7 linked regions of the Canis lupus familiaris genome follow. The protein of the gene in region 4 interacts with the protein of the main gene of each other region in a pairwise test. Links are inferred from orthologs where the notes say so. Each region holds a gene or a part of one and is shown on either strand. Other genes may lie near its edges. The genes, in order: JUP, CCDC92, SAXO1, FHL2, SP2, DCP1A and ZNF131.

Region 1 (3,899 bases), on a different chromosome or scaffold from region 4:
GATCCCATGAACCGCATGGAGATCTTCCGACTCAACACTATACCCCTGTTTGTACAGGTGAGTCTGGGGCAGGTGGAGAGCAGAGGTCCCTCCAACCCCTGCACATCCCCATTACTGAAAGTGGGAGGTTGGCAGCCATGGGTTTGGTGGGTCTGGGCCAGTCATCAAGAGGTCATTGGAGGAGTTTGGAGAACAGTGACCATGCCAGGAGTGACCCCTTAGCAGATCCCTGCATGGGAATGGCTTTCCAAGCTCAAAAGCAAGGGAAGAGATCACAAATGAGAAAAATATCTCAACTACATAAACGTTAAAATCATCTGTATGTCAGAAACAGTCTAAAAAGCAAGAAAAAGTCAGTAGCAAACTGGGAAAATGTTTGCAAGTATCACAACAGACAAGAGTTTAATATCCTTCATATAAAAGAGCTCAGTAATACTAGACCCCAGTGGTTAGATGGGCAGAGGCAGAAACAATCCCAGGTCGCTCATAAACAGGCAGTGTTCAACCCCAGGAGTTTAAAGAAATGAAGCTTATGCTCCCAGTGAGATCGTCCCATTTTCCGCTATCAAACTGGCAAAGAAAAAAAATGAGAATGCTCTGGGCTGGTGAAAATAAATAAATAAAAATCTTTAAAAAAAAATTATTTATTTATTCATGAGAGACACACAGAGAGAGGCAGAGACACAGGCAGAGGGAGAAGCAGGCTCCATGCAGGGACCCCAATGCAGGACTCAATCCCGGGTCTCCAGGATCACGCCCTGGGCCAAAGGCAGACGCTTAACTGCTGAGCCACACAGGTGTCCCATAAATAAATAAAATCTTGAAAAAAAAAAAAAAGTCCATTATATCATATGGCTGAATACAGTGAGGTTGAAGAATTTTTGGCTTTTCAAATTTTTTCCCTTTAAGTACTAGAGTTCAGAGTAAGGGATTAGCATCCTTGCAACCTCCAGTTGTGACCAATGAGGGGTTTTGTTTTGTTTTGTTTTTTTGTTATTGTTTGGCTTTTTAACACTCTCTTTTTTCTTATCAGTATGGACTCAGATTTCTAGGTAAAGCTTTTTAATAATGTAGGAAAATGCCTTATGTTACAGTGTGAGGTAAAACAAACAAACAAACAAAACAGGAATCAAAATATCAAAATAAGGGACAGCCCAGGTAGCTCAGCAGTTTAGCACTGCTTTCAGCCCGGGGCCTGACCCTGGAGTCCTGGGGTCGAGTCCCCCGTCGGGCTCCCTGCATGGAGCCTGCTTCTCCCTCTGCCTGTGTCTCTGCCTTTCTCTCTGTGTGTCTCTCATGAATAAATAAATAAAATAAAATAAAAATAAAAATAGGGATGCATAGTCCTAAAACAGGACTATGATAAAAACATGATGGAAATATGCCAGTGTATTAACAAAGGCTATATGTGGGTGGGGAATTATGGCTGGTTTTCTTTCCTATTTCTTTATGTTTCTTAGACTTTTCCACACTTTCTAGTAGGAGCTGGTGCTAAGTCCAGAAAAGGGGAGCTGAGACTAACAGGGCTGGGGGGCGAGCGGGCTGCCCATCTGCCTTACACCTTACCCACCTGCGCCCCTTCCCCACCCCACGCACCCTCCCTCTCCCCAGCTCCTGTACTCGTCAGTGGAGAACATCCAGCGCGTGGCTGCCGGGGTGCTGTGTGAGCTGGCCCAGGACAAGGAGGCAGCTGATGCAATTGATGCTGAGGGGGCCTCAGCTCCACTCATGGAGCTACTGCACTCCCGCAATGAGGGCACCGGTGAGGGGCTGTGCTGTGGGCCAGGGGGAGACAGCGGGGGCTGGGTCTTGGTCCTCCAGCCAGGGTGAAGGCAGGCGCTTAATTGAGTTTTCCTCTCCTCTCTGCTCAGCCACCTACGCTGCGGCTGTCCTGTTCCGCATCTCCGAGGACAAGAACCCAGATTACCGTAAACGCGTATCTGTGGAGCTCACCAACTCCCTCTTCAAGCATGACCCAGCTGCATGGGAGGCTGTGAGTATCCTGGGTTGGACTGCAATGTATGGTTGTGCAAGTTGCACACTACACATGGACAGTGCCTTTGAGGGAGCTCCTCCTACCATACTGTCAACTTCAGATTTTTATTTTGTAATTGGATCATTGATGACCATTTCTAGCAGATGGCAGAGGTAGGTTAAACTATCTGCTTTTGACCTGCCAGAATGGCAATTTTATTTTGTCCATGTTATTAGAAGTGTTTGAAGCAGGGGGCAATGCCTTTTTCTAACGTGTGCAGAGGTGCTCTGTAGGCTAGTGCTGCCCCGATCCTGGGTGGGGCAGCTCCCAGTACCCGTTCTCAAGGCATCTTGTGCACTGCTGTCCCCAGGGCTGCCCTGGTTTTGTGGGCATCCCTATGCGAGAACGGTGGGAACTTCAACTCTTCGGAAGTGACTGAGGAGAGGAGTCCATTGGGGCACTGTGTAACCCCATTTCATTCCTCTGTTCCTTCGAGGGGTCTATGCTTTTCCCTCTTTGTAGAAGCATCTCTAGCTGCCCACCCCCCAGCCCAGAGCTGACATTTTGCACCCTTCTCCCCTCCTGCAATGTTTCTCTGTCTCTTTCCTTAGGCCCAGAGCATGATCCCCATCAATGAGCCCTACGCAGATGGTGAGTGTGTGCAGAGTTCCTCAGGGGTCCCCGAGACCCTGCAGTGTGGGGTGTCTGGGGATGTGAGTGAAGGAGAGGCATTGTGTCTCCAGGGCCGCATGACCAGTGGCAGCCACTGCAGAGTCCACACCTACTCCTGTGTAGGCCCCCTGATGTAGGGGAGTGGAGAAGGGGTCAGGCCCACTGGAGATGGACTGTGAGGTCCAGCAGGGTGGTCTGCAGACCTTAGAAGGTCCTCTTCCCTTCTTTTCCCCAGACATGGACGCCACCTACCGCCCCATGTACTCGAGTGATGTGCCCCTGGACCCCCTGGACATGCACATGGACATGGACGCGGACTATCCCATCGACACTTACAGCGACGGCCTGAGGCCCCCCTACCCCACGGCGGACCATATGCTGGCCTAGCTGGCTGCAATCCAGTACGGCACCTTCCTGCTTGCAGGCTTCCCCCATGCCTGGGGCCTCTGGGCCATTGAGACATGCTTTTCTTCCCCGCTAGAACTTGCTTCTCACAAAGGCCCTGTCATCTTTCCTTTGAAACCTTGGCCCTTTTCTGGGGGAAGTGAGTGTGGGGCCTTTTGCCATTGAGCTCCCCTGAGGAAGGCGTGCCTTGGCCTGCCTCACTCCCTTGTCTTGCTGGGGGCAGGTGGGTAGTGGGTGGGTGACACGGGGGTGGCACAAGCTCCTGGAGGCCATAGGCCTGCCCTGACCCCTCTGTGTATAACTCCCCCTCCCCCAGGTGCGGTTCCTCATCTGAGAGGCTCTCCATGTGGGCGATGGGGCGAGACAGGAAAGTGCCTGAGCCCAGGGGAGCAGGGCCACGACTTCTCGCTGTGACTTCTCGCCGGCCCATGCCTCCAGACATCCTCTATAGGGTCTTTCTAGGGATGCTCCTGCTTTTCTGTCCTAGGCTGTGGGTCCAGGGCCCAACACCCCCTCCCACCTCTGTGGCCCTGGCACTAAAGCTTTAGACTCAACCACTCACTCTCTTCCCCCACCCAGTAATCACCCCCCACTCTCACCCCCACCCTGGGTGGCCTGACTCCAGCAACCCAGGCCCCTCAGAGCTTTGGTTCCTTCTCTGGGCCTGATTTTCTCACTGAACTCCAACCCACCAACTGTTCTGAGCCCCTGGGGTGGCCAGAACCCAGGTTCAATGCTCAAAGTCCCAGAATCCAAAGCTTGTTTGAGAAGTTCAGGGACGGACCAGGGAGATGGGACGGAGATGAGGACACTGCTTGCTCCCCTCTCGAGGATGTTCAGCTGGCTT
Region 2 (4,275 bases), on a different chromosome or scaffold from region 4:
TATTGCGGTAGGACAACCAGTCCACAAACTAGCCCCTGGAAATGTGCGGAGCAGGCTCCTCCTAGAGAAATTTAGTTGTTAGAGTTCAGCAAGGAAGGTTTCACAAAGGAGCCGAGTTTTGAGGGAAATGAGAGGTGACTTGGCAGAGAGATGCGGGAAGATTAATCCAGATGGGAAAATGTCTGGGAGGTGGATTTACTGAGTTAATCGGAAGCGGGGGACAGTAAGCGAACTGAAGGCAGGTCCTGAAAGAGGAGAGGATTCCTTTGGATGTGGGAGCTGAGAGGGAGCTCGGCTGCGCGGCCATCCGGTTTACCTGGGTGAGAATCCGGCCCTTATTGTGGTCAAACAATGGAGGCGTCCAGCGGCAGCGGCGTTCTGCGCTGGGTGCGCGGAGGGCTCCTCATCACCTGGCGGGATGCTCGGCGGGCTCTGCCGGGACGCAGGGCGCTCTACGAAAACACAACAGCACACCATGCAGCCGGGCTCCCCCGCGGCACGGCCCGGCTCCCCGCTCCCACGGCGCGGCCATTACCGCCTCTCCGGGGACCTGCCTGGAAGGGCTCCAAGGCGCGGCTCCACGGGCTCCTGCGGCCGTCTCGCTCCCCCTTCCCTCGGCTCCAACAACAATGGAGCCCGGGCTCGGGAGTCCGGCTCCCGCGGGGCCTCCGCCCGGCCTCGCCCCTGCCGCTGCCCACCCCTCGCCGCGCCGCCGGCCGCCATCTGTGACCCCCGCGCCCCGCCGCCGGCGCCGCGGGCCCACGGCGGCCCGCCGAGGCCCGAGGCCGGGGCTTGCCCTCCGCCGGGCCCTGCCCGGTGGCCGCAGGGCCGGCCGGCTGCGGGGGGGCCGCGCCGCCTTCCCCTCCGACGCCCCGGGGCCGGCGCGGCCCCAGGCCCATCCTGAGTGATGGGTTGTTTTTCTTCTCTTTAACCCACTCATCGTCCTGCCAGCCCCGAGCCCGCTCCCCTTGTGCCCCTGCCCCCGCCTCGTTCCCGAAAAGAGACAGACTGCAGCCCGGCCGCCAGACAACTCACTCCAAGTGAGGGGCTGAAGCGCCCCAGGCCGCGGACTCCGCGCACCCACCCTCCCTCTCCTCCAGGGACACCTCACAGGTGCGCCTCCGAGCCGCGCGCGCGCGCTCCGCACACCCAGACGCCTCCGGGGGACAGCGCGCGTGCGCACGCACGGGGCCGACGAGCCCCGGGGGAGCGGGGGCCGCACGCATGCGCGCCGCTCGGCCCGCGCCCCGGCACCCCCCGCCCCCGCCCCCGCCGGCCGCCCGCGCGCGCGCGCCCTCCCCCCAATCCCAGGCTGGTCCCGGGAGCCCCCCCAACCCCGGCCCTGCGCGCGCGCGCCCGCTCGCCCGCTCGCCCGCTCGCTCCTCCTGCCCCGCCCCGCCCGGGCCCGCGTTACCCTGGGCAACCGCAGTGCGGCCGCACCTGAGCTCTGCGCCTGCGTCCCACCGGCCAGACCCTCCCTTCCCCTCGGTCCCGTCCCCTGCCCCGCCACCGCTGGGGGACGGGGGGCATCGCCCCCTCCCCGCGAAGTGAGTATCGAGCGGCCTCCCCCGCCCTGCGCCGCAGACAGACCCGCGCCGCCGCCGCCGCCGCCGCCGCCGCCTCCGCCTCCGCCTCCGCCGCCTCCGCGCCGGCGCGTCAGCCGTCCGCCCGGTCAGCGCGGCCTGGCCTCGCCGCCCCGGCCCCCGCTCCCGGCGTGCACCGCGGCGAGCGCCCGGGTGGGAGCCGGCGAGATGCGTTCGGCGGGCGGCGCCCACTGACCTCCCTCGGCCGCCCGGCCGGCGCAGGGCCGGAGCCGGGAGCCAGCCCCGCCCGCCGCCCCGCCCATGGGCCGCCGGCCCCCGCAGCCGCCTGCCGGGAGGACCGCGCCGAGGGGGGGAGCCGCCTGAAGGACCGCGACGGCCGCGCCCGCAGGTGAGGCGGGGCCCGAGGTGCGACCGAGTCCAGCCCCGCTCACCTGGCGGTACCTCTGGGGAGGCTCTGCGGGCGCCGGCGGGGGGTGGGAGCACCTGTCGGGACGGGGATTAGGTGGTTTTCAAAGCCCTCGCCGCGGGGGGCGGGGGTCCTCCCGTCTCGCCCCCAGGGCTGGGCGGTGGGGAAGGGGGTCCCCGTGCGGAAACAGCTGGGCGGTGGCGACAGAGACACGAAGAGGTGGACGCGAGGGCAGAAGTGAGGCGCAGCGCCCCCCGCGCCGGCTGTCCCCCCCGTGTTCCAGCCCGCTGTGGGGAGGGGATGCCCTTGCCCGGGCTCCAGTCCAGGCTGCGGACCCGCCGCACCGCGCACCCAGACCAATCGCACGGGGCAGGAGCGGTCAGCCCAGCGGCCGCCCCTGCCAGCCCCGGGGTGGGATTGTAGGGCGAGGGATCCGCATTGCAGGTGCACCAGGAGCACCCTGGGGCCTGGCCCTGCTTTGTCTGGGATGTGTGGGGAGGCGGCCGTCTGAATCCACATCGATTTTTTAAATGCGTTTTACCACCCTCTGGACGTTAGAGACCCTCCCTGATAAGTTGCGTCGTCTCGTGTCCTGATAACCCTTGCGTAAGTACTCTACCTTACAGCCCTTTTCTGAAGCTTTGATGTGGGCTTTAGATGACCCTGAATAACAATTTGCTTGTAATTCATGAAATTGAGCATAATGCAAATATGCAGTAGAGCTCCAGGCTTGCCTGCCGAGCTGCGGTCTGCTAGTGAGTTACTCCAGTTTATCTAACTTACGTCTCCATGCTGACCTGTTTTGTTTAAAGTCAAGCTTTGATATTTAGCTGTATGATCTATTCCAATAATGAAAATGACGTGGCCTAAGAGAAAATACAGTTGTGTTCCGAAATTTAGGTTGCGGTAATAGGTGTTATTGCAAAAATAACAAGCTCCGAGGTTTAATTTTAAAACGTGCTTTGATGTATTACGCATTTCCAGAAACCTACCTGTAAGAATGTAAAACTAGAATTGCGGTTTTTAAAAAAAAATATATATATATAAGATATTTTTAAGTTTGAGGTTTATGTAAAGAGCATTGTTGTTGTTTTATTAAATTTTTTTTGCACTGTCAAGAATTTGCCTGCATTTTCTTCCCATTGGAGTGTAAGGGGAAAGATGCTGACATCTAAAGTGACTTTTATTCCCTAAGAGGTTTTAAATTTAAGTATTTCTTTTGGTTAAGTGTTTGTCTTATGTGAAATATTTTTGAGAAAGGGTTTAAGGCTTGTGGTATATGTATATACCTATGTGTATATATGTATGTTTACATATACACACTATTGAAAAACCTTAAAGTAGTTTTTATTATTTCTCTGCATCATGTTATAATTACTCAGTGAATTTAGTTTAGATATGTTTAAAATCCAAAGTACAAAACAATTATTTGTATCAGCTTTTTGTTGTAGTACGTGTAAATACATCAGTCTAACAGGTTTCTTAGAAAATATTAATTCTTTTGAAAAACACGTGAGTCCTTTTACTTGCAATGGAAGATCACTTGGGTTCTTAACTCTTTCATCTGTGATTCATTGGATAAATTCATTTCAATGTCGTCACTTAATTGGCAGAGAGCATTTGCAACAATACTGGTGTTAACAACATTGATGCTTTTAAGAAATACTTATAAAGCATTCTCTCATGTTTCTAACAAGAAAAGACATGGGCCTTTTTCTTCTATCTGGAACAAGGTCAGCCATAAAAAGTTCCTGATACATAATGGGCACACATGTTTATTGAGATTGATTACATCTACTGGATTGGATCCTTAAAGGTCAGCAACTAGGTGCCTCTATGCTTCACACACCAAGGCTGCAATAAATGTTTGGCTCATATTGAAGTTCCAGACTAGTTAGGTAGGTGCTAGCTTAACACCAATTTTCACATCTCCAGCTTTGATGTTTAAAGATTTGGGCAGAGAAGTGAACGTGTCCTCATTGTTTTCAGATATTTAAGGTTTGTCATGCAGCAAAGGGAGTGTCTGTATTTAGAGTAATTCCCAAGTGCAGAAGAGGCCAAGTAGTATTTATAGGAAAACGTTTCACTTTGACATAAGAACAAAAGTTGCTTATGATTGGAACCACCAGCATTGTAAAGAAGGGGCTGCTCCTTCCCCACAGTTTCCAAATTAGCCAGTACCCCAACAGGGCAGGAATGGCTAGTAGGAGATAGCACATGGGGTGTGAGGTGGGTGTCTAGGGATTCCCATGGCCGTGGATTAAAGGGCTTTGTGGCTCTTTTTAATTTTTTTAATGGGGGAGCTTCTACAGCTGTGGGCACAAG
Region 3 (3,899 bases), on a different chromosome or scaffold from region 4:
ACAAAGCAACCCTGGGCAGAGAGAACACAAAATCCAGAATGGGTCCAAGGCACTCCCACCAGTATTGGGATGCAATGGGGGCTATAGTCTGAAATCTCCCCAAAGGTCCCAAGGAACACAGCCCCTTCCCTCCATAGACAGCACTTAAGGGTGAACACATAGACCTGAAGATTCATTCCCCCAAAAATAAAATTTATTCTTTAGCACTTCATACTTGGCAAGGGTTAATTATCATGTCAATTCATACAGTGATTACATCAATAAAATATTTCTGGTTCAGAGAAGAACCCTTGGGACCAACTTTGATTCCATCAACACAAGGTAAGGGACCAAAGTGGGGGAAGAAGCCAAGGGAGGGTTAAGGGGAATACTTAGCCCGTGATTAAATGTCATTTTCGTTGAGTCAAGCGATTCTCATTTTATTCAAGTGTCCTGGAAATGATGAAGAAGACTCTTTTTTTTTTTTTTTTTTTTTTTTTTTTCCATTTTGGGGAATTCTTTTTTGGCCAATGAATAACTCTCAATCACCTGCTTTTAAAAGTATTGTGCAATTTCTAAGTAACCATTTTTAAATATCAGGCTGACACTGCCAATTCCCGCTGGTTAGGGTTTTCTGAATCATCTACAGAAAGACGGCTGTCCTGCTGAGAGCCTGTCTGGGAAACTGGCCTGTATATCCTGTGCCCCAAAGCATCTGTTTCCTCAAAGATGTAGCCAGGGGGCTCAGCGTATGAAGCCAGGCACCTGCTCACATCCTTGGGAGTAAAGCTGATGGTGTATGTGGTCTGGCCCTCCACAGGGATATTTCCTCGGGGGCCCACCCAGGAAGGCTTACAGCTTTTGGTATTGATGGGTGGGTGGGGCACATAGTGGGCCCGCATAGTGGTCAGACAATCCAAGGGCTCAGTGGGAATGTTCAACTGGGGAACGGGCTTGACTAGCTCTGTGCGCATGCCAGGCCACTGCTTGTAGTCGTCCTTGGTGGTAGTGGAGCCTTCAAAGTGGCCACCCTTCTTGACTGAGAGCACCGGTCGGCAGGACTGAGCTGGGGCACCTTTAGGGTATGTGTAATGGGCCTGCACTGTTGTCAGAAGGTCCATCTTTTCTTCAGGAGGGACATAAGTGACAGGAACTTTGGAGAATATCTGGGGTGTGGGCCACGCTTGGTACTTATCTCGAAACTCGGTGGTGTTAGAGAAAGTCGTGTCTAAACCACAGGACCTGGCTGGAGGTTTCAAGCTCTTGGTTGGCTCTCCCATCAGGCCCCGGTAGGATTCTTTGTGGGTGGTAAGGCTTTCAAAGGGGATTTCACAGGGTCTGAACTTCTCTGCTTCATACACAAAGCGCTTCTCCATAGGGTGGGCCACATAGCTCATCTTGTAATTAGTCAGATCCTCCAGCGGTATGTTACAGAGCTTGGGCATGGCCAGAGGCTTACAGCTCATGGTGTTCACTAGGCCCTTTACAGAATAGTCATCCTGGTGTGTAGTTCTACTATCAAACCTGGTTGATGCTGGCCGGTAATGGTGTTCTGGACGAAGCAGCTCTCGTCTTGGTTGGTTCCAAGGTAAGTAATCAGCTGAAAATAAAGCAGAAGTGGTAATTACTTATAAATCAAGGCCACTTAACCTACATGTATTCTAAAGGTCCCCAAAGCCTTAAGCCAGTCTCCAGGGAGATGGTCCTTGAAACAAAGGAAGACTAGAGTAGATCCCTTCACTGCCTCAACACTGGGCTTCATACTTCAACTTTATAGGATTTGCAAGTGAGTATGCAGAACAGATATATTTATAGGAGTCTCATCATAACCCACAATGCTGCATGCAGGGATTTTAGAGAGTCCACAGCTATGGGAGGATCTAAGGATTTGATTCCAGCTGAGGAGTCAACCACCAGTGTACCTTGATCCAAGAATAGTTCTGTTCCTCTATGGGGGAGGTGCCCACTCTGAATCAGCACAGAAAGAGAAGATGCACATGGTGTAGTGAGAAAGGGGATTCACAAGCCACCACTGGTGGGCCACCAGCCAGACCAAGTAGACCTCTCTTTTCAACCTTGGGGTGACCATGATTGTATCCCTATAACCCACACATTTAACCCACATAAATCAAACATGCTGGCCCCAAGGGAATAAGGCATTGCATTGGCTGGTGAGAGAACAGCAGCTGCCACCTGCATAGAGATTATCATGTGATATCTTAATATCTTAATATTCTTAATACTTCCTATATTAACTCATTTAACCTGTGGACAGGTCTAATCAGGTGCTTTCAATATGCCCATTTTATAGATGCAGAAGCAGAGACACAGAGAACTTAGGGAACTTGCCCAAGGTCACTTGGCTAGAAGTGAAAAAGAAGGGCTACAAATCAGGATCCAAAATCCATACTCTGTACCCACTCCACTATCTGATTCTGACAATCAGAGAACACTATATACCAGCTAACTGTGCTAAGGGATTTCCATACATGACCTTGTTTCATCTTACCATAACCCTTTGTGATGAGTATAATTATCTCTATTCTACAGATTTTAAAGAGCAGGACTCAGAGAGGCTAAGAAATTTTTCTTAAAGTCACATGGCTAGGAACTTAAGAATTGGGATTTAAACCACATGATTGACTCCAAAGTCATGCTCTTCTGGCAGCCTATAATACAGTTAGGAGCACCATACATTTAGAGAGAATAAAGACTAATAAAGACTAATGAAAAATAATCAGAGAATTTTTGCAGAAGAATAATTTCAGAATATTTAAAGAATGTAAAGAATCGGTCCATGTATCTAGAGGATATCTGTCTCGAGGGGAACCTTTGCTGTGGGACTGGCATGGCCAAGATAATGTGAGACCTGTACCCAAATAAAAATCTTCCCTAAAGATGATCTCCATGAATCCTGGAGGTTTTGTCTTCAAATTGCACTAGGATCCTTTTAAAGTAACTTCCCCACACAAATCCAAGGACAGCTTTGAAACTAAAAATCAGCAAACTGTACCATCCAAACACCTCGATACTGGTTCCATAATGCTGGGCTCCCACCCAGGTCCTACATTGCCCCCATTGTGTCCATAAATTACCAGATCTAAAAAGTAACCAATATGAAATTCTAGTAAACACTCTGAATCTGAAGGGAGTTCTCCTGCTTACAGCTTTACAAACATTAGAAACAAAAGCAGCTTCTAAGGAGCCTTGGTTATATATAGCCAATATCAGTGGAGTCCATAGGTACACTTTTTAAAAAAAACACCTTTACTGAGATCTAATCTGTATAACACAAAATGCACCATCTTACATTTTTTTAATTATTCAGTAACTTTTACAGAGTTGTACAATCACCAAAATCCAGTTATAGAACATTTCTACCCCAAAAATATCAACCAAGCCCACCTACAGTTAATCTTTAGGGCCATCACCAGCAACCACACAATCTGCTATTGGTCTCCATAGGTGTGTCTTTTCTGGACATTTTATATAAATATAATGGCACAATATATAGTGTTTTGCATTTGGCTTTTTTCATGTAACATAACAATCAAGATTCATCCTTGTTGCAGCATGTAATAGTTCACTCCTTTTATTGCTGAATCATATTACATCATATGGATATACCAAATTTTGTTTATTTATTCAACAACTGATGAATATTTGGGTTGTTTCTACTTGTTGGCTATTGGGAAAATTTCTGTTCTGAACAGTCATAGCCAGGTCTTTGTATGAATATATATTTCATTTTTCTTAGGTATATACCAAGAGAAGAATTGCTAGGTTATATGGCAAAACTATTTTTAACTTTTTAAGATTGTACAAACTTTTCCAAAGTGGATGTACCGTTTTACATTCTCATCAGCAATTTGTGAAGGTTCTAATTCCTCCACATCTTTATCAACACTTTTTTTTTTCAT
Region 4 (4,434 bases):
ATAAAAATGTACTCAAAGTTAAAATTGATCTTTGCAAGCTTACACTTAAGATAATTAATGATATTTATGAAATACATCTGTCAAATATCAAATTGCTCAGAACTTATGTTAGTTCCTTTCTATTTTTCATCCTTATTTGGTATATTGGAGACTAAATGATAAAAGGCTGATGAATCAGTGATAATGAGGAAGAAATCAGCCAAATAAACTTTTAGGGGTCATGTAGATCAAGGCACAAGATGGTTGTGTATTTTTACTATTCAGTGGGTTGCATTAGTAGTGTAGAAATTAGCATATTGCTCATTAGCTCCTGCAGGGAGCCTGCTTCTCCCTCTGCCTGTGTCTCTGCCTCTCTGTCTCTCATGAATAAATAAATAAAATCTTAAAAAACCCAACTAGTTATATCCTGATAAAATTGCTTATCTAAAGCTTAATTTATGTTTTTTTTTTAAGTTTCCATCATTCTAATTCCCCATCATTATAAGTATTTGAATATTCTGGCTAAATGAAAGAAATCACAATGTCATATAAAGATAACTAATTTCAAAGAAATAAAGTTTGAATGCTTGGTGAAAGGACATTGATCATAAATTTAACAAAAAGCAGATTACCAAATGACCTGATGATATATTTTTTTCTTAATTAGAAGTTATAGTTCTCCATATAATTTATTGTTTTCAGATGCATCCTAAAATACATCAATGTGGAGTGGTATATAGTGAGAATTTCCCCCCCCCACCTTTTTTTTTTTTTATTTTATTTATTCATGAGAGACACAGAGAGAGAGGCAGGGATACAGGCAGAGGTAGAAGCAGGCTCCATGCAAGGAGCCCAATGTGGGACTTGGGATTCTGGGATCACACCATGAGCCAAAGGCAGACGCTCAACCACTGAGCCACCCAGGCGTTCTTTCCTTCCCTCTCTTGTAAAGCTAGTGTTAAATTAGTGGCTCATCTCAAAATCAAAGACTTCTTAGAATCAAGAAATAGGATAAACAATAAATGTAGTAAGACCACACATAATTTTTCATTTTCTTCTCTCTGCTGGTCTGTATTTTCTGGCATATATTTGTACAGTAAGATACAATGAAAGAAAATATAAACACTATGAATATAATTTCACCTCTTTCTTTGGTGGTGTTAAAAACAGGACAACAGGCCCCAAATGGAGTCACTTATATTAAGCTCCACGTCACCAAACACACCTAACCTAAGTACAATTTTGGCCTCTTCCAGTAATGGAATTTTAAAGCAGTCAGAACTCACCTGATGAGCATTAGTTAGGTCATCTGCCTGATAGAGCCCTGTCATCCTCTAAAGGAAAGTAATGTTGGAATAAACAGTCCACTTTTTTTGTCCCATGTACCTTCCTAGTTCCTGTTCCCTTCTGTCTGTAAAGGTCTTCAGTTTTGTACACACTGCACAGCCCTTTTCTGTCTGCTGGGTGGGATACTGCCCAATTGATGAATCATTGAGTAAAACCAATAAGATCTTTATAATTTATTTGGTTGAAAAAAATTTTTTTTGACGGTGGGGAGAGGACAATTTAAACTCAGTTTCTTGGCCATCTATTTTAAATCTGAAGTATTTTAGACACCAGTAGACTATGTAGGTCCCTGTGTTAAGAGCTATCAGATTACAGAGAGAAATATGACGTGGCCTAGCCTCAGGATCTGGAACCAATGGAGAACTCCAGAAGCACTAAGTGGGATGAAGAAATCTAATAGTGCAAAATGCATTCAAAAACAGGCAAGATTGAGTGAGCAGTCAGGGAATATTTTAGGGGAAACTATGCAACTCTTCATGAAGGTTATACATTGAAGCATTTTCTTAATATCAGAAAAGGCCTCGAAAATGTAATTGTGTGAGTTGAGTAGCTGGCTACTGCTTTAAAGACAAAAACTCTCCTAAGATTGGATGGATCTCAAAATGTAATAGGTTTGATTACAGCACATCATGTTATAAACCTAGCAATAAAACAAAATTCAAATAGCATTCCTCAAGAAACAAATAAATAAAATAAAACCAGAACAAACCTATATAGAGCAAGTCCATGATAAAATAACATCAGCCAATAACGCAAGTGTTAATACTATCTTTTGACCTCAGAATTATTTTTAAAAAATGGCCTGGTAATATCTCTTTTTATTGGATTAGACCTGATAAGGTGCCTTGCATGGAGTATGACTAGAGGATGTTAACATGTATGACACCTATTATCAGAATATGCCATCTTATCAGTGTTAACATTATTACACAATTGGCCCAAGCATTACTCAATACTGTGCATTTGCTCACATCCTGCTCTAGAAATTAGTAAATTAGTAAAATGTGAATGCATTTCCTTTAAGCACACAACAGCTATCTGTACTTTGGAACCGTCAGCCGTAACAAGTCATCTTGTATAAACATACTTTCCCAGCCTAATCAGACTCCTCAGTAATTTGCCTCCTCACCCCAGGCCATCCGGAAATTCTGTCAAGGAGAAAAAGCTCCAGGGCACTGTGGTTTCCCCCCTCCCAATGTTTATTTTATACTTTTTTTTTTTTTCTTTTTTCTTTTACAAAAAGCTTCCTGGTGTTCAAAACTCCGTGTAGTTCCTGTTTCCCCGTCTGAGAGGGTAAGATGAACGGAGGGTTCCCTCCGTGTTCTTTCTACTCCCGGAGGCACCTGCCGTGGGTTTGGAGCAGCGGCCAGGGCCAGGTTCTGTTCCTTCCCCACAGCCCCGCAGCCCCGGGCAGGAGCTGGCTGCAGGCGGGGGCCCGCTGCCAGGCCACTGGGGCTGGGTTTGGGGTCTGCAGGTGCACAGTGCCAGAGAGCTCCCTCCCGGGGCAGGAGGCCGCACAGCTGGCAGCGAAGCCTGGGAGGACACAGGGCACAGGGAAGGAAGGGGCCCCGGGGAGGAGGAAGCTTACCTGTCCTGTCGTCTGCCCTCGGCGAGCCCAGGGGCCAGTGGGGAGGCAGGGCCCACGCTCGTGGGCTGCTCCTGCAACTGTGTGTGCAGCTGCTGGCCAGCTGCCGCCTCGTGTCAGCAGGGCTATAAATAAGGTGCTGTCCAGAGCCCAGAGATAAGAACCCAGCCCCTCGCTCCCGCGAGCCTTTTAAGGTATCCAAATTAAAGGAGCCTCGGCCCCCAGATGGGAAGGGGTGCCAGCTCCCCATTTGGCCTGCCCACCTCAAGGACACCCTGGGCCTTGCACACAGTCCAGCAACCCAAGGAGGAGTGAGAGGGGAAAGCCGAGCGCTGGGAGGGATCTCGCTTGGTCAGACAAGTGGTGGAGTCCCTGGGGGGCTGCAGGGGCTCGGATGCTGGGAGACCCCCCCACCCCGAGATCAGGGCCGGCGCTGTGGTACAGAAGGGGGAGGAAAGTCATCCAGGCCACACAGTGCCCTGGGGTGTGCTGTGGGTTGTCAGCGCTGCCTCTTGCTAGGAGCACACGGACCCTCTTCCCTGGCTTCAGGGGTATTGGTTTGGGTGAAAAAGATTCTAGGGGAGATTCTAAGGGATCGGCTTCATGCTGGGCACGTGGGAGGCCGGGAATGCAGTCTCCTTATAAAGGCCCTCTCTCCCCATTCCCACCCCCCACTCATGCATGATTGGGGGGATTCTTGGGCCACAAATCATTTTCTTTATAGAGCTAATGCAGAAATCTTATGGAGCTTTTTTATTTTTATTTTTTAAGATTTTATTTATTTATTCATGAGAGACACAGAAAGAGAGGCAGAGACACAAGCAGAGGGAGAAGCAGGCTCCCTGCAGGGAGCCCAATGTGGGACTCAGTCTGGGATCCCAGGATCATGCCCTGAGCCAAAGGCACCCAACCACTGAGCCACCCAGGGCTTTTAAAAAAACCATATGCTAGAAGAGGTCAGAGAGGACTAATCTGGGGTAGCAATAATTCCTGATTCACCCCTAAATTTCTTAATTCTGGGAGGCTTTTCAGCCATGGCTGGGGTCAGGTGAAGGACAACTGAGGTCAGCTGTTTGGCAGCAGCTGTCTGCCATATGACAGACATTCCACATCTGGGAATTTATCCTAAGGAAAGGATCGTGGATGTCAGCAGAGATACAGCTCCAGGGACATTTCTTGCAGGTTTTTTAATAATTGGGGAAAGTTGGAAACAACCAAAATGACTAACAACCGAGACTGGTAAAATGAGGAATAGTATAGCCATGAAGGAAACACTGCAACCTTTGGAAATGTCATAGAAGAATATTTAATAACATAGAAACAATATGATGACATGTTGGTAGTGAAAATGCAGGTCACTTTAAGGGAAACTTGGTGTATGTGTGAGAAGTTACTATTGCACATATGCTGAAAGGATAGGCATCCAATGAGGGAATGTGCTTATGGCAGGGTGATGAGATTATGGCTGATGTTTTTTCCTTGGCTTATATGACATCTCTAAAATGTACACAATGATCTTTTAT
Region 5 (4,617 bases), on a different chromosome or scaffold from region 4:
TATAAATTCCTCAATGGCAGGAACTACTTTCTTATATTAAAAAAGATCCTTAAAAACAACAACCACCTTGTCCTCAATTTTAATGGTAGCACCTGCCATACCAAGACGTAGCAAGTCAAGGTGAAAAGCAGAAAAGAGCATGGGGTTTAAAGTCAGAAATTTGGGTTGAATCCTGCCTCTTGTCACCTGTGCCCCATGAGCTCTTGGAAACTTAACTCCTCTGAGTTCCAGGCTCTCCATCTGCAACATGGGCATAATCTCTGGCATTTACTAGGCATACACGAAGAATAAAACCACCTCACAGAGTCAAATAGATTCCAGAGTAGTATGGCACCTTAATATAAGCCCCAAATAACATTCTTATTGAATTATTAACATCCCAGATGGATCTAGCCTAAGTGTTCCTGCCATCAAGCTGGGCTGTGTCTTCCTACTTTTTTTCTTGCCATTAACAATGACCAAAATTTTCTTATTAATTTTCTTACTTTACATCAAATTCTATGGTTCTGAGATTTCATTCTTGCTGCTGTATGTGATTCTATAGTAAAAAATAAACTTTATTATTAAAAAATACGTATCTGTCCTCTAACCACCCTCCAAAAAACTCTCCAAAAAGAAAAAGTGGACAATATAGGTATATAGGGATGTCTTATCCGATTTCTAAGGATGAGCAGTACATAACCACCTGAACCAAAGAGAGCCCACATGTCAGCAGAAATGGCCACTTACTACTGACCCCAGATGATGCTGACTCCTAGCACTCAGGTCAAATCAGCAGCTGCCTCAGTATCATCTTCTAAAGCAAGCCAGGGGGAACAGAGTGTCAGCCATTCAGTGCGAAGGAGAGGGAGGCGGGTGTAGAGGGTGAGTGTGGTACCTGAGTAGGCGTCGGCTCAGCCGCCTGGATCTGAAAGTTCTGGGAGGGCTTCTGGGGGACGGTGGGGAGGGTAGCAGATGCCGCCTGCACCACCCGCAGAGCCTGCTGGGGGATCTGTACCACCTGCTGCTGCTCGGCCTTGGGGGGCACCACCTGGACCTGCTGGACCACAGCTGGCTGGCCCCCACCAGGGCTCTGAACAATGAGCAGGTTGTTTCCTGCCTGGATGATGTTGTCCGCGGTGGTCTCAATCAGCACCGTCTCCACTTGCTCCGCCACAGCCACAGGGGGCTGGGAGGCAGGGAGACTCTTCTTCCTGGCTTTCTTGTTAGTCTTAGACAGAGGGGTGGGGGGGCTCTCCGTGAGGAGCTGAGTGGTGGCCCCAGAGTCGCTGGTGTTCACAAGGTTGTTGACGGGCAGAGTGAGTGTCACATTGCCGCCCCCACCCGTCAGCTTCACCACATTGGCCCCACTCTGCACAGGGGTGGTAGTTGTACTTGACTTCTGAACCGGGGCTGGCTTGATGGGGACAGGCTTGTGACTGGATGGTGAGGGGGTGATGATGGCTTGGCTGGTGCCAGGGATAATCTGGATCTGGTTGGTGAGACTGGGCTGTACCTGGATGGTCTGGGAACTGCTCGCCTGTATCTGAGGGACCGCCTGGTACTGGATATTGGCATTTGATCGGGTCCCTTTGTTGATCACAGTGGGATTCTGAATAGCGAACACGAGCTGCCCCCCAGGATAGGATGCACTCAGTTGTGACCCCTGAATCTGAAGGATGTTTCCTTTGGAGGACAGGATTCCGAAGCTATTCTTGCCAGGACTGAGAGGGAGAGGGGCAGGTTTGATGGGGACGAGTTTCCGTGGTGTGGGCTGGGGGGGAGCAGGCGGCGTCACCGCAGCTTCAACAGCTGGAGGGCCAATTTTGCTACATGTTGCGGCAAGCAGGGCTAGAGGAGATGGCTGGGAATCCTGCGAGAGAACGAGCGGAGGAAAAGTGAGACATGAACCTGCTGCCCAGCCACCCTCTACCCTTCGTGGTCTCCTCCTCTTGGCAGGCTCTTTGGCACCTCTGTGGTAGGCAGGGTGCTAGCATCTTCCCTCTCCCTGCTATCTCCTCTTTCTCTGAGGGAGAAAGGGTAGGCAGTGCCTTTCTCGGGGGGAACTCTCTAGAAGCCCCCATAACAAGGTGAACAAACACCTTTCCCACTACCCGTGTTTCTCAAGGGGTCACAGAATCATCCTCAGCTTTTAGGCAGAAGTCCATTGGCCCATCACGAGGGCTGAGGGGCCCCTGATTCCTCAGCTGAGGAAGGAAGGGAGGAAGAATAAACACTCAGGTAAAGTGGGGAGGGTGCTCTTTCGAGGCTACAAGGACAGAGCCTCTGGACTGTAGGGACACAGCCTCTATTTCCCTTTTATGGTCAGTGGGTCTGGTGGAAGGGACCTGGAGTTTAATCCTGCTTTTCTCCCAACTCAACTGTGCCACCTCAGGTAAGTGGCCCTGGCTTCTTCATTGAGAGAAAATGAACCACCGAATCTTCCCAGGGGTCATGTCCCAGGGTGTTTACAGAGAAGCCAGTACAGAGTTTTCAGCTGTGGTTTAATGTCAGCTTCAGAGAATGCCTCCAGGCTGATGCAGCACTGCCTCCCCACCCAAACCCACTGCTCACTCACCTGGGTGCTGGGGGCGGCGGGCTGCAGGTAGTCGCTGGGGCTGACAGCGGCAGTGGCAGCCATGCTGGTCTGTGGATCTGCTGGAAGAAAAGAGACTGAATAAGTCACCAGAGGCCCAAACAGAACCCAAGCCCATTGGCCTCAGGTACTCCTTTTGCCTCTCTCTGCTTCTCCAAGAGGTCAACCTTTTCTAATGCCTCCCCACTCAAGGTTAGCAACCCTACATCTTGTTCGGTGGGTGGCCTTCTCTCCTCTCCTCCAATCTGTCCATCCTGGGCTGGGAGGGCAGCTGGTTTTGTCTCTAGGCATCATAAAGCCTGGGACAACAGGAAGACACAAGACTTTGCTGAGACCAGCTTCAGTCATCCAATGGAGGAATCTCTACAGGGTACTGCTAACTCTAACTAGGTTGATGGAATCCCTATTTGGTGGGCAGGAGAGCCGCCCTCATCCCAGCCCTGCACCTCTGGTTAATCCTCTAGATCTAACCCAAGCTCCTTGCTCACTCCTTCTATAGCCAAATGCCAGGCTGACAGTCGCTTCTCTCCTAGGATCCCTGACAAAGACACACCTGCTCCACGAGAAAGGAGATCTAAGGTGCTTTATGCTCAGCCTTCACCACAAAGGTACCAGAGCCCAGGTAATGATCTTGAGCATGTGGATAACCACTTTCAGTGACTTTACATAGGCTAACAGGTATGGCCCCAAAGGCATCACCAAGACTAGAACTAATGACTAAATATAATGAGAATGAAAACAGAGTAAATTCTATTTTTGTTAAATGTGTACATATTTCTATATGTGAACACAGCAGGAAATGTCTTTGAAAATGCTGAAACGTTAAGACCCATTATTATCTCCTGGCAGTAGAATTTTGCTTGACTTCAAGAATTTTTCTTGTTTTTCTGGATTTTCTCATTTTCCCACAATGAATATACCCTATTGTGCCCCCCCCCTTTAAGAAAGAACAATAAGGAACGTTGAGGAAGTAATGAAGGGAATGTCTACTCTGAACTTAAATCAGATTTAAAGAATTAAAGTAAAATGGAAATCATGAGAATTTGGGGGTCGGGTGGGGAAGAATCTATGCCATCTTGTAGTTCATAAATCACTAAGGAAAAGGACACTAGGCAGTGAGACTCGCATCCTTAACCTTTGGAAAGTAGCTCTTGGGAAGTACAGAAACAAGGTTATTATTTCAGAGAAATAAACTGTGTGAGAAGCCAAAAGCACAGCTCTAGACAAAATCGTATAGGGAGATCTTGAAATATTACAGACACTGATCCTTGGCAAAATCCTAGAAACAAGACTGAATGGCACGTTATAATTACTGAAGACAACAATGACCCTAAGGAAGAAGGCACAGGGTTGCAAAAACTGAATCATGCTGTTTTCATGAGGTTTTGCATGGATACATCAAGGAAAGGGTATACACTCTGTATTTTATTTCAACAAGGCATCTGACCGAAATTTTCATAATATTCTTATGAATAAGAAGGGAAAAAAACTGCAGGCAGGAGAGTATGGTTTGGAGGCCAAGCCAAATGTGCCTCCTCCTAAAAGTGCGGAGATCCACACATCCTGAGTGGTTTGCTGCTGCAAGGTCAATCAGGGTTGTCTCAAACTAGGGGTGGCTCCCAAGACAAGGGTCTGCAGCTTCTCCTAAGGAGGCTAATGCTTTTTCTGCCCAGCATGTTTTATTCTTGTGTACGTTGTGATGGTTATCCTTTCAAAATGAACATACACTGACTGGGTGACCGTTGCTTTGCCAAGCTTTGCCTGTTTCAGGGCCTGTGCGTATGTTTACAGCTGTACTGTTGCCAAGTGGCACCACTCTAACTGCGTGGGCTAATTAAGACAACTTAATTCTGTACATTTAATTCATGATACATCTGTGCAAAGTGAAGGAGAACAGCTCTTCAGAAGCGTGGGAGGACTGTGTTGCTTGGCACTAGACACTGCAGGGTAGAGGCATGGGAAACTCAAGGAGCCTGAGGTGTCAAGTCTACCGTGCCTCATGCTAACAGTAGTGACACGGGTTCGATCAAATGTCAATCTCC
Region 6 (3,211 bases), on a different chromosome or scaffold from region 4:
GGGGTGTGATGAAACCTGTTTTCTGAGAACAGTCACATGGTTCCCCCCGACACCATCTCCTGGTGTCAGCAACACTCTGGATCTTACTTCAACATTTTCCTTCCTGGGTGATGTACAAGCAATTCATTTTTGGTTGCTGGATTCACACACTACCTTTGACAACGAACTCTTCCCCATTGAGTAAGAGAAATTACAAGCTTCCCTGACTTCTGTACAATTCACAAATAACTACGTAGACAGCAAGAAAAGACACTAAATTTGACAAGCAGAAAAGCTGCCCAGGAAGCATATTTAGAGTAACAAATGCCAATCAAACAAAGTATTCTTTATGCTAAAAAAACTAAGACCAAACTAAAACAAGTATGTAATTCACAAGTAATTTTCTAAAATCTCAGCTAGGAAAAAAAAAAAAATCTATCGATTTATGATTGAGTTACCATTAAAGCTTAAATGACTGTTCGCAAGGAACCACCACATCCATCAGCATTATTCACAGCTCACCCTTATGCTAGCTGGTTGAGCCAACTGGGTTTTTACCCCATCATTAAATAGTGCTCAGAAAAGTAAGCAGTGCATCTTAATTGGTTAAATACTACAAAATGATCTGCATCATAGAAACGAAGACACTTTCATTCAAAGAGTATCTTAAAATTACTATTGCTGAAATAAATCAAAGTCTACATTAAAATATTACTAATCACCATTACATGCCATAAAAGAATAAATATAAATCATGGCAGGTCAATAGCAGCATAACAAAGCATCTTTACATATTTTCACACTTTGGGCTGCAAAAGTACTCACAGCCTAGGAATACATTGGTAAAGTTCTGAATTTCACACTTTGTTTTTAACTCCATATTCTATAATAAAATAAGGGCAGTATGAATAACAGCTCCCTTTTCTGCATAGCTTTAAAACTACTCTCAGTAGACTCGAGGAATGGAACCAGAATGGCTTTGCTAGATTGGTCCACTGGTCCTTTTTGCCAAGTGTTAAGGAAAACAATCAACAATGACTTCTGTGTTTAGACAGAAAAGGAAAATAAGGCTACACTTCACACAAAACTTAACATTTTCGAAACCACTCAATAGTTTAACGTAAAGTGAAGGTTTCTGATCAAATTCAGTCTTTACCAGTCCCAGCCTTTGCTTCAAAGGTGTGACATGCTACTCCCATACCATCACAGAGCCGGAGGAGGCCCTAGTCACGTGGTATCACTGCCCTGGGAGCCCGCAGCATGGCAGCTCTGGGGACACTTAAAAAAACAAAACAAAACACAATTGAGAAATTTCAGAACTTTTAAGGCCCAAATGGGGCATTCATAAAAATATACTTCACTTGAACAAATCATTCCTAATTTGCCAACTTAAACTCTGATCCTTAAAACTCAAAGCTACTTTGCATAGAGCTGACTACTGCTCTGTTCAGAACTTGACTATCAGCCTAAGGCTCAAATTTCTAGGGGGGAGAAGCAGGGGAAGGGGTGCGGGCTGAACTCTGCTACAAGGCTGGTGACCCCTCCCCTCCCTATGACCTTGAGAGTGAAAGCAAGCTGAAAACCAGGCTCCTGATTTCACATCCCTTCTTACAGCTGATGAAAACACCCACACAACTTAATGTTTTTTTTTTTTTGTTTTTGTTTTGTTTTGTTTTTGTCAAAACAAAGGTCTGCTGGTGATGCTTCACAGTGAAACCTCCATTATCACTGAGAACGTCACTTGGAAAACATTCTTAAGGAATGAGTCTCTTTCTCATAGGCTCAATTTCAGGATTCTCAAAACTCAATGTTCTGTTTAGAAGTTCCCATGATGAGGCCTATTCGTTTCTGAGGTCGACATTCTGCCTTCGGATTTATTCTGCTCCAGTCATAAGTTGTGGTTGTCTTTGTTCTTGGTCAGAACCTGCAAGTAGACTTCGTGAAGTGTACTGAGGAAGCTGGAATCATTCTGGAAGAGATGGTAATGTTTCATTTACCTCAGAAGAACTTACTGTATAAATGATTTATAAAACTAACTACCCAAAGAATCCCATCACCCAGAGACAGCTGCAATCAATATTTTGGAATTCATTCAGATACTTTTCCATTGGGAGTATATGCTCAGAAAGAGAGAAACATCAGTCCCGCTAGTCTTCAATTCACCTTATGAACTGGTTTTCTAAAAAGAATTTATGTTTTTTAAAATTAAAGAACAGAAGTTTACAGATTCAACTGCTGGGATGGTCTGCATACCTTTATTAGATGTATTAATGTATCCTGGAGCTGGGACTTGCTGAGAATAATGGAAGGCTTTCTCTGATTTTCTGATGTTCCAACAGTCAGTGGAGAAGGGGCGCTTGCTTTTCTCTCGAGGTCTGTGGACCTTGTGACTGTCTGTTGGAAAACACTCGGGGACAGCAGGACTGAAGACACTGCCATGGTTGTTGCAGTAACCAGTGTGGGGCCTGTGACCTGCAGGGCAACAATGGTCATGAATGAAGCTTGTCGGCTAAAGGATGAAGGGTCTGTTTCTTGGGAAGCCAAGTCTGATCATCACACAAAAGAAGTATGATCACACAGGGTATGCACAGTAAGAACAATCCTATGATAAGAGGTGTCTGCATGGCTTAGTTGGTTAAGCGTCTGCCTTTGGCTCAGGTCATGATCCTTGAGGCCTTCGTTGGGCTCCCTGCTCAGTGGGGAGTCTCCTTCTCCCTCTGTCCCATCCCTGCTCATGCACACAAGCATGTTCTCTCTCAAATAAAAAATTAAATCTTAAAAAAAAAATCCTATGATAAATTAAAAATGCAAAGTTTTTTTTTTAAAGATTTTATTTATTTATTCATGAGAGACACAGAGAGAGAGAGAGAGAGAGAGGCAGAGACACAGGCAGAGGGAGCAGATCCCATGCAGGAAGCCTGATGTGGGACTCGATCCCGGGTCTCCAGGATTACGCCCTGGGCCGAAGGCAGGCGCCAAACCGCTGAGCCACCGAGGGATCCCCAAAACTGCAAAGTTTTATATGGGGAGCAGGGAAATGATTGGAAGAGGGCATGAGGGACTTTCTGGGGTGATAGAAATCTTACATATATTGATTGAATGGTTACCCCAAGGGATATTATGTTTGTTAAAACTCATAAAACAGAATCTGCATTTTATATGTATTTCACTGCAGTAAAATTTTACTTCAGATAAAAAAAGAAAAAGAAAAAGAAAAGGAGTGCCTGGATGT
Region 7 (3,899 bases), on a different chromosome or scaffold from region 4:
AGTATATTGGATTGTGAGAATTCTTTTTATACTGTCTGTACAGACCTTTGGCAGATACACGTGTGCACATGTTTTGTCCTGATCTGTGGCTTGCCGTTTTGTTCTGTTGTTTTGTTTGTGGCTTGCCTTTTTGTTAACTATTTCAAAGGGCAAACATTTTTAATTTTGATGAAATCCATTTTATCAATTTTTGCTATTAAGTTTTCTTTTTGTGTGCTGTTTAAGAAATCTTATCCGTAACCCAATTTTATAAAGATTTTCTCTCTTTTTTTCTCAAAGCTTAATAGTTTAGTTTTTATCGACAGTCTGTGGTCCATTTTTTTGTTTGTTTGTTTGTTTGTTTTAAAGATTTTATTTATTCCTGAGAGACAGAGAGAGAGGCAGAGACATAGGCAGAGGGAGAAGCAGGTTCTGTGTGGGAAGCCTGATTGTAGATTCAGTCCCAGGATCCCGGGATCATGACCTGAGCCAAAGGCAGATGCTCAACCACTGTGCCATCCAGGTGCTCTGTGTGGTCCATTTTGAAATAATTTTTCTGTGTATGATTCAAGAGTAGTAGTTGAGGTTTATTTTCTCCATATAAAGACCAGTTATTCCAGCAGTACTGTTAAGAGATTCTTTTCTTCATTAAATTATCTTGGAACCTTTTTTCAAAAGTCAGTTGAATAAGTGGGTCTAATTTTGGACTTTACTCTGTTCATTAATCTTCATGTCTCTCACCAATATGGATAATTTACTGTAGTTTTTCAGTTTAGTCTTGAAATCAGGTTATAGTATAAGACTTCCAATCTTATTTTTCGCCTTTTCATATAAATTTTACTATGAGCTTATCAGTTTCTTTCCAAAAGCCTGCTAGGATTTTCACTGACCTTATAGAGTTTTAAGTCCATCTATTATGTTTTCAGGAACAAAGAAAACTCAGCTCCACTAGAGGAAAATACCACAGGAAAAAGTGAGGCAAAAAAAAGAAAGATTGCAGAAACTTCAAATGTTATCACTGAGTCATTGCCATCTGCAGAATCAGAACCTGTTGAAATTGAGGTAGAGATTGCCGAAGGCACAATTGAAGTGGAAGATGAAGGCATCGAAACGTTGGAGGAAGTGGCTTCTGCCAAGCAGTCCATAAAGTACATTCAGAGCACAGGTTCCTCTGATGATTCCGCCCTGGCACTATTGGCAGATATTACCAGCAAATACCGTCAAGGTGATAGAAAAGGGCAGATTAAAGAAGAAGATGGTTGTGCATCTGACCCCACAAGCAAACAGGTAGAAGGTATTGAAATTGTGGAACTTCAGCTGTCACATGTGAAGGACTTGTTCCATTGTGAGAAATGTAACCGTTCATTTAAATTGTTTTACCATTTTAAGGAACACATGAAATCACACTCCACTGAGAGTTTCAAGTGTGAAATATGCAATAAAAGGTATCTTCGGGAGAGCGCATGGAAACAGCACCTCAACTGTTACCACCTTGAAGAAGGTGGAGTCAGTAAGAAGCAAAGAACTGGGAAAAAAATTCATATATGTCAATACTGTGAGAAACAGTTTGACCACTTTGGACATTTTAAAGAGCATCTTCGGAAACATACAGGTAACTGGCAAATGCTTTATGTTAAAAGTATATTTTCCACATTTGCTTCAAGTCTAAGTGTCTACCTTTTTTTTTTTTTAATTAGTGCCACAGAAACCATCTCTTGTATTTTCTAATATGCAGGCTGAGCTCACAATGTTCTGATGATACTAGCGTGTTGAAATATTGACACTTTAAGAGCAAAATCATTAATTTTGAAGTTGGTTGTTACTCTTACACCTTGTCAGTTTTTATATTTTTAGAAGAAATACACAAAACACAGTTTGTGATTATTTACCAAGGATTATAAATTATGAAATCCTAATTATAGGGAAACTTCGCTCTTAATATTTTTTCCTGTTTCTGATTTATAGGTTATATAGATAAGTACATTTACAGCTGACCTCTGGCATGTTTATACCTTTGCATACACTTAGTAACTGGTTTTGACCTGGTGGCCAGGTAGGCAGTGTGTGTGTTGTTTTTCCCACACCTCTCTAGGGGCACACAGTGTCAGGACTGATGAACAGCGGGGAGATGAGAAAGGTGAAGTCTTTCACTGCCATCCTTCTGGCAGCCCTTAGGCATGCAGGAGGGATCCCAGAGAGGCTCACTTTGGGCCTCTGTATCTATCCCCTATACCTGTTCTTCCCCTTGTCAGATTCCCTGTCCTTCCACTTCCCAAGCATTCTTTGCTGAGTCTTCTGTGCCATACACAGGAGCTACCACCTATGACTTGAATCTTGGGTGTGGGAAGAGCGGTGGATATGGTGTGCTAAGTGTCAGATTCTAGACACTTGTTCCCATGTTCTTGTGTGTGGTGGCTAAGGCTGTTTAGACTGTTTAAGTGAATACAACAAGGCTATTCCATGCTATTCAGTCTTTCTCTTTGCTGCAGTTTGGAGAATTTTGAAGACTTTTTTTCATAGATCTTTTGCTGTCCTGAGTTGCTCGCCACATACTACTTGAAACTGAGGAAATGGAGAGATTGAAATAAATGTGATATCCTTCATTTTTAAATGCTTGGTATCAGTACTCAGGGACTGAATAAATGCTTGGTATCAATACTTAGTGGTTACATGAAGAGCAAGAGAATCTCATAACTAAGTCTCTGTATGGATTTTAAAAGCTTTGGGGTCCAAGTTTGGGTAACTAATAGGTGTTAATGAAATCTTTAAGGGAAATATGTTCTGATTTTCAAACATAGGCATAATACCTACTGTATATTTAGAAACTGCCTATAGTAATAGTTTTGGGTCCTTAAATGGTCATCTATTTTAATGTAATTCGTTTTGCAAAATGCTATAACAGTAGCACATTAAATTAGTAAATAAATGTTCCTTGGTGTAACTAGTGTGCTTTGATAAAGGTTTACAGTATCCCAACAGATGGTCACTTTTACATTAGCATAAAAGTGGAAGCAAGTTGTCTCTCTAACCCAAAACATTACCTAGTGGCTTACCCACTGTAAAACAGGCAACACAGACTATTTTGGAAGTTTTGGAATGTGCTTTCCATATCCTATCCTTTGTATTTTGGATTAAATAGAAGAAAATAGAGCTTAAAGTGTATTATGTTGTATGTCTTTATAATTATGTAATATAATTTAATTAAGTAGTTAGAAATTACAGAACTAGATGTCCATTGGAAGAACAGTTTAACACCTAAAGCAAACTGAACTTTGTTAGCATTTAACTGCAATTAACTGTACTAGTAATTAGTAATAAGATAGTTGCAGATGTGACCAGTGACTTGGTGAATCAAGGGAGCATAAGTAAACGGTTTTAAATTGTGCTTATGTGGGCAGCCTGGATGGCTCAGCGGTTTAGCGCCGCCATCAGCCCAGGGCCTGATGATCCTGAGGACTCAGGATCGAGTCCCACATCAGGCTCCCTGCATGGAGCCTGCTTCTCCCTCTGCCTGTGTCTCTGCCTCTCTCTCTGCCTCTCTGTGTGTCTCTCATGAATAAATAAATAAAATCTTAAAAAAAAAAAAAAAGTGCTTATGTTAATAAAGGATGGATCATTTTTTGCTTTTAAGAAACTCAGTGTAAATGAGGAAACAATCCCATTCCTGTTTCCTATCCTCAAAATATACATAAATCTCCTTCAGTTTCATATTTTGCATACTTTTACTAGTTTATTTTTTTTTTTTTTAATTTTATTCATGAGAGACAGAGAGAGAGAGGCAGAGACACAGGCAGAAGGAGAAGCAGGTTCTCTGCAGGGAGCCCGATGTGGGACTCAATCCCAGACCCCAGGATCACGCCCTGGGCTGAAGGCAGGCGCTAAACCTCTGTGCCACTCAGGCGTCCCAATACTTTTACTAG

The links.
Region 1: the proteins of FHL2 (region 4) and JUP interact in binary tests that used the Homo sapiens proteins (3 or more experiments, as listed by UniProt). The two-hybrid records come from large-scale screens. The link is inferred for Canis lupus familiaris from reciprocal best matches to the Homo sapiens genes FHL2 and JUP.
Region 2: the proteins of FHL2 (region 4) and CCDC92 interact in binary tests that used the Homo sapiens proteins (3 or more experiments, as listed by UniProt). The two-hybrid records come from large-scale screens. The link is inferred for Canis lupus familiaris from reciprocal best matches to the Homo sapiens genes FHL2 and CCDC92.
Region 3: the proteins of FHL2 (region 4) and SAXO1 interact in binary tests that used the Homo sapiens proteins (3 or more experiments, as listed by UniProt). The two-hybrid records come from large-scale screens. The link is inferred for Canis lupus familiaris from reciprocal best matches to the Homo sapiens genes FHL2 and SAXO1.
Region 5: the proteins of FHL2 (region 4) and SP2 interact in binary tests that used the Homo sapiens proteins (3 or more experiments, as listed by UniProt). The two-hybrid records come from large-scale screens. The link is inferred for Canis lupus familiaris from reciprocal best matches to the Homo sapiens genes FHL2 and SP2.
Region 6: the proteins of FHL2 (region 4) and DCP1A interact in binary tests that used the Homo sapiens proteins (3 or more experiments, as listed by UniProt). The two-hybrid records come from large-scale screens. The link is inferred for Canis lupus familiaris from reciprocal best matches to the Homo sapiens genes FHL2 and DCP1A.
Region 7: the proteins of FHL2 (region 4) and ZNF131 interact in binary tests that used the Homo sapiens proteins (3 or more experiments, as listed by UniProt). The two-hybrid records come from large-scale screens. The link is inferred for Canis lupus familiaris from reciprocal best matches to the Homo sapiens genes FHL2 and ZNF131.

The regions. Positions count from the first base shown.
Region 1 is NC_049230.1:20,925,687-20,929,585, forward strand, and holds part of JUP (junction plakoglobin), read left to right. Parts: coding exon 1-57; intron 58-1,611; coding exon 1,612-1,762; intron 1,763-1,871; coding exon 1,872-1,993; intron 1,994-2,586; coding exon 2,587-2,626; intron 2,627-2,882; coding exon 2,883-3,034; 3' UTR 3,035-3,048; intron 3,049-3,368; 3' UTR 3,369-3,899. UniProt on the Homo sapiens protein: Common junctional plaque protein. The membrane-associated plaques are architectural elements in an important strategic position to influence the arrangement and function of both the cytoskeleton and the cells within the tissue.
Region 2 is NC_049247.1:5,970,583-5,974,857, forward strand, and holds the start of CCDC92 (coiled-coil domain-containing protein 92), read left to right. Parts: upstream 1-1,475; 5' UTR 1,476-1,547; intron 1,548-1,590; exon of another isoform or gene 1,591-1,647; intron 1,648-1,725; exon of another isoform or gene 1,726-1,932; intron 1,933-4,275.
Region 3 is NC_049232.1:38,828,992-38,832,890, forward strand, and holds the end of SAXO1 (stabilizer of axonemal microtubules 1), read right to left. Parts: intron 1,580-3,899; coding exon 576-1,579; 3' UTR 437-575; downstream 1-436. UniProt on the Homo sapiens protein: May play a role in the regulation of cilium length. Stabilizes microtubules at low temperature.
Region 4 is NC_049231.1:39,049,398-39,053,831, reverse strand, and holds the start of FHL2 (four and a half LIM domains protein 2), read right to left. Parts: upstream 3,056-4,434; 5' UTR 2,915-3,055; intron 2,620-2,914; exon of another isoform or gene 1,525-2,619; intron 1-1,524. UniProt on the Homo sapiens protein: May function as a molecular transmitter linking various signaling pathways to transcriptional regulation. Negatively regulates the transcriptional repressor E4F1 and may function in cell growth.
Region 5 is NC_049230.1:24,184,079-24,188,695, reverse strand, and holds the start of SP2 (transcription factor Sp2), read right to left. Parts: upstream 2,882-4,617; 5' UTR 2,870-2,881; coding exon 2,782-2,869; intron 2,638-2,781; coding exon of another isoform or gene 2,635-2,637; coding exon 2,558-2,634; intron 1,853-2,557; coding exon 878-1,852; intron 1-877. UniProt on the Homo sapiens protein: Binds to GC box promoters elements and selectively activates mRNA synthesis from genes that contain functional recognition sites.
Region 6 is NC_049241.1:36,947,473-36,950,683, reverse strand, and holds part of DCP1A (mRNA-decapping enzyme 1A), read right to left. Parts: intron 2,452-3,211; coding exon 2,233-2,451; intron 1,949-2,232; coding exon 1,868-1,948; 3' UTR 1-1,867. UniProt on the Homo sapiens protein: Necessary for the degradation of mRNAs, both in normal mRNA turnover and in nonsense-mediated mRNA decay. Removes the 7-methyl guanine cap structure from mRNA molecules, yielding a 5'-phosphorylated mRNA fragment and 7m-GDP.
Region 7 is NC_049225.1:67,663,114-67,667,012, reverse strand, and holds part of ZNF131 (zinc finger protein 131), read left to right. Parts: exon of another isoform or gene 1-13; intron 14-905; coding exon 906-1,591; intron 1,592-3,899. UniProt on the Homo sapiens protein: Plays a role during development and organogenesis as well as in the function of the adult central nervous system. May be involved in transcriptional regulation as a repressor of ESR1/ER-alpha signaling.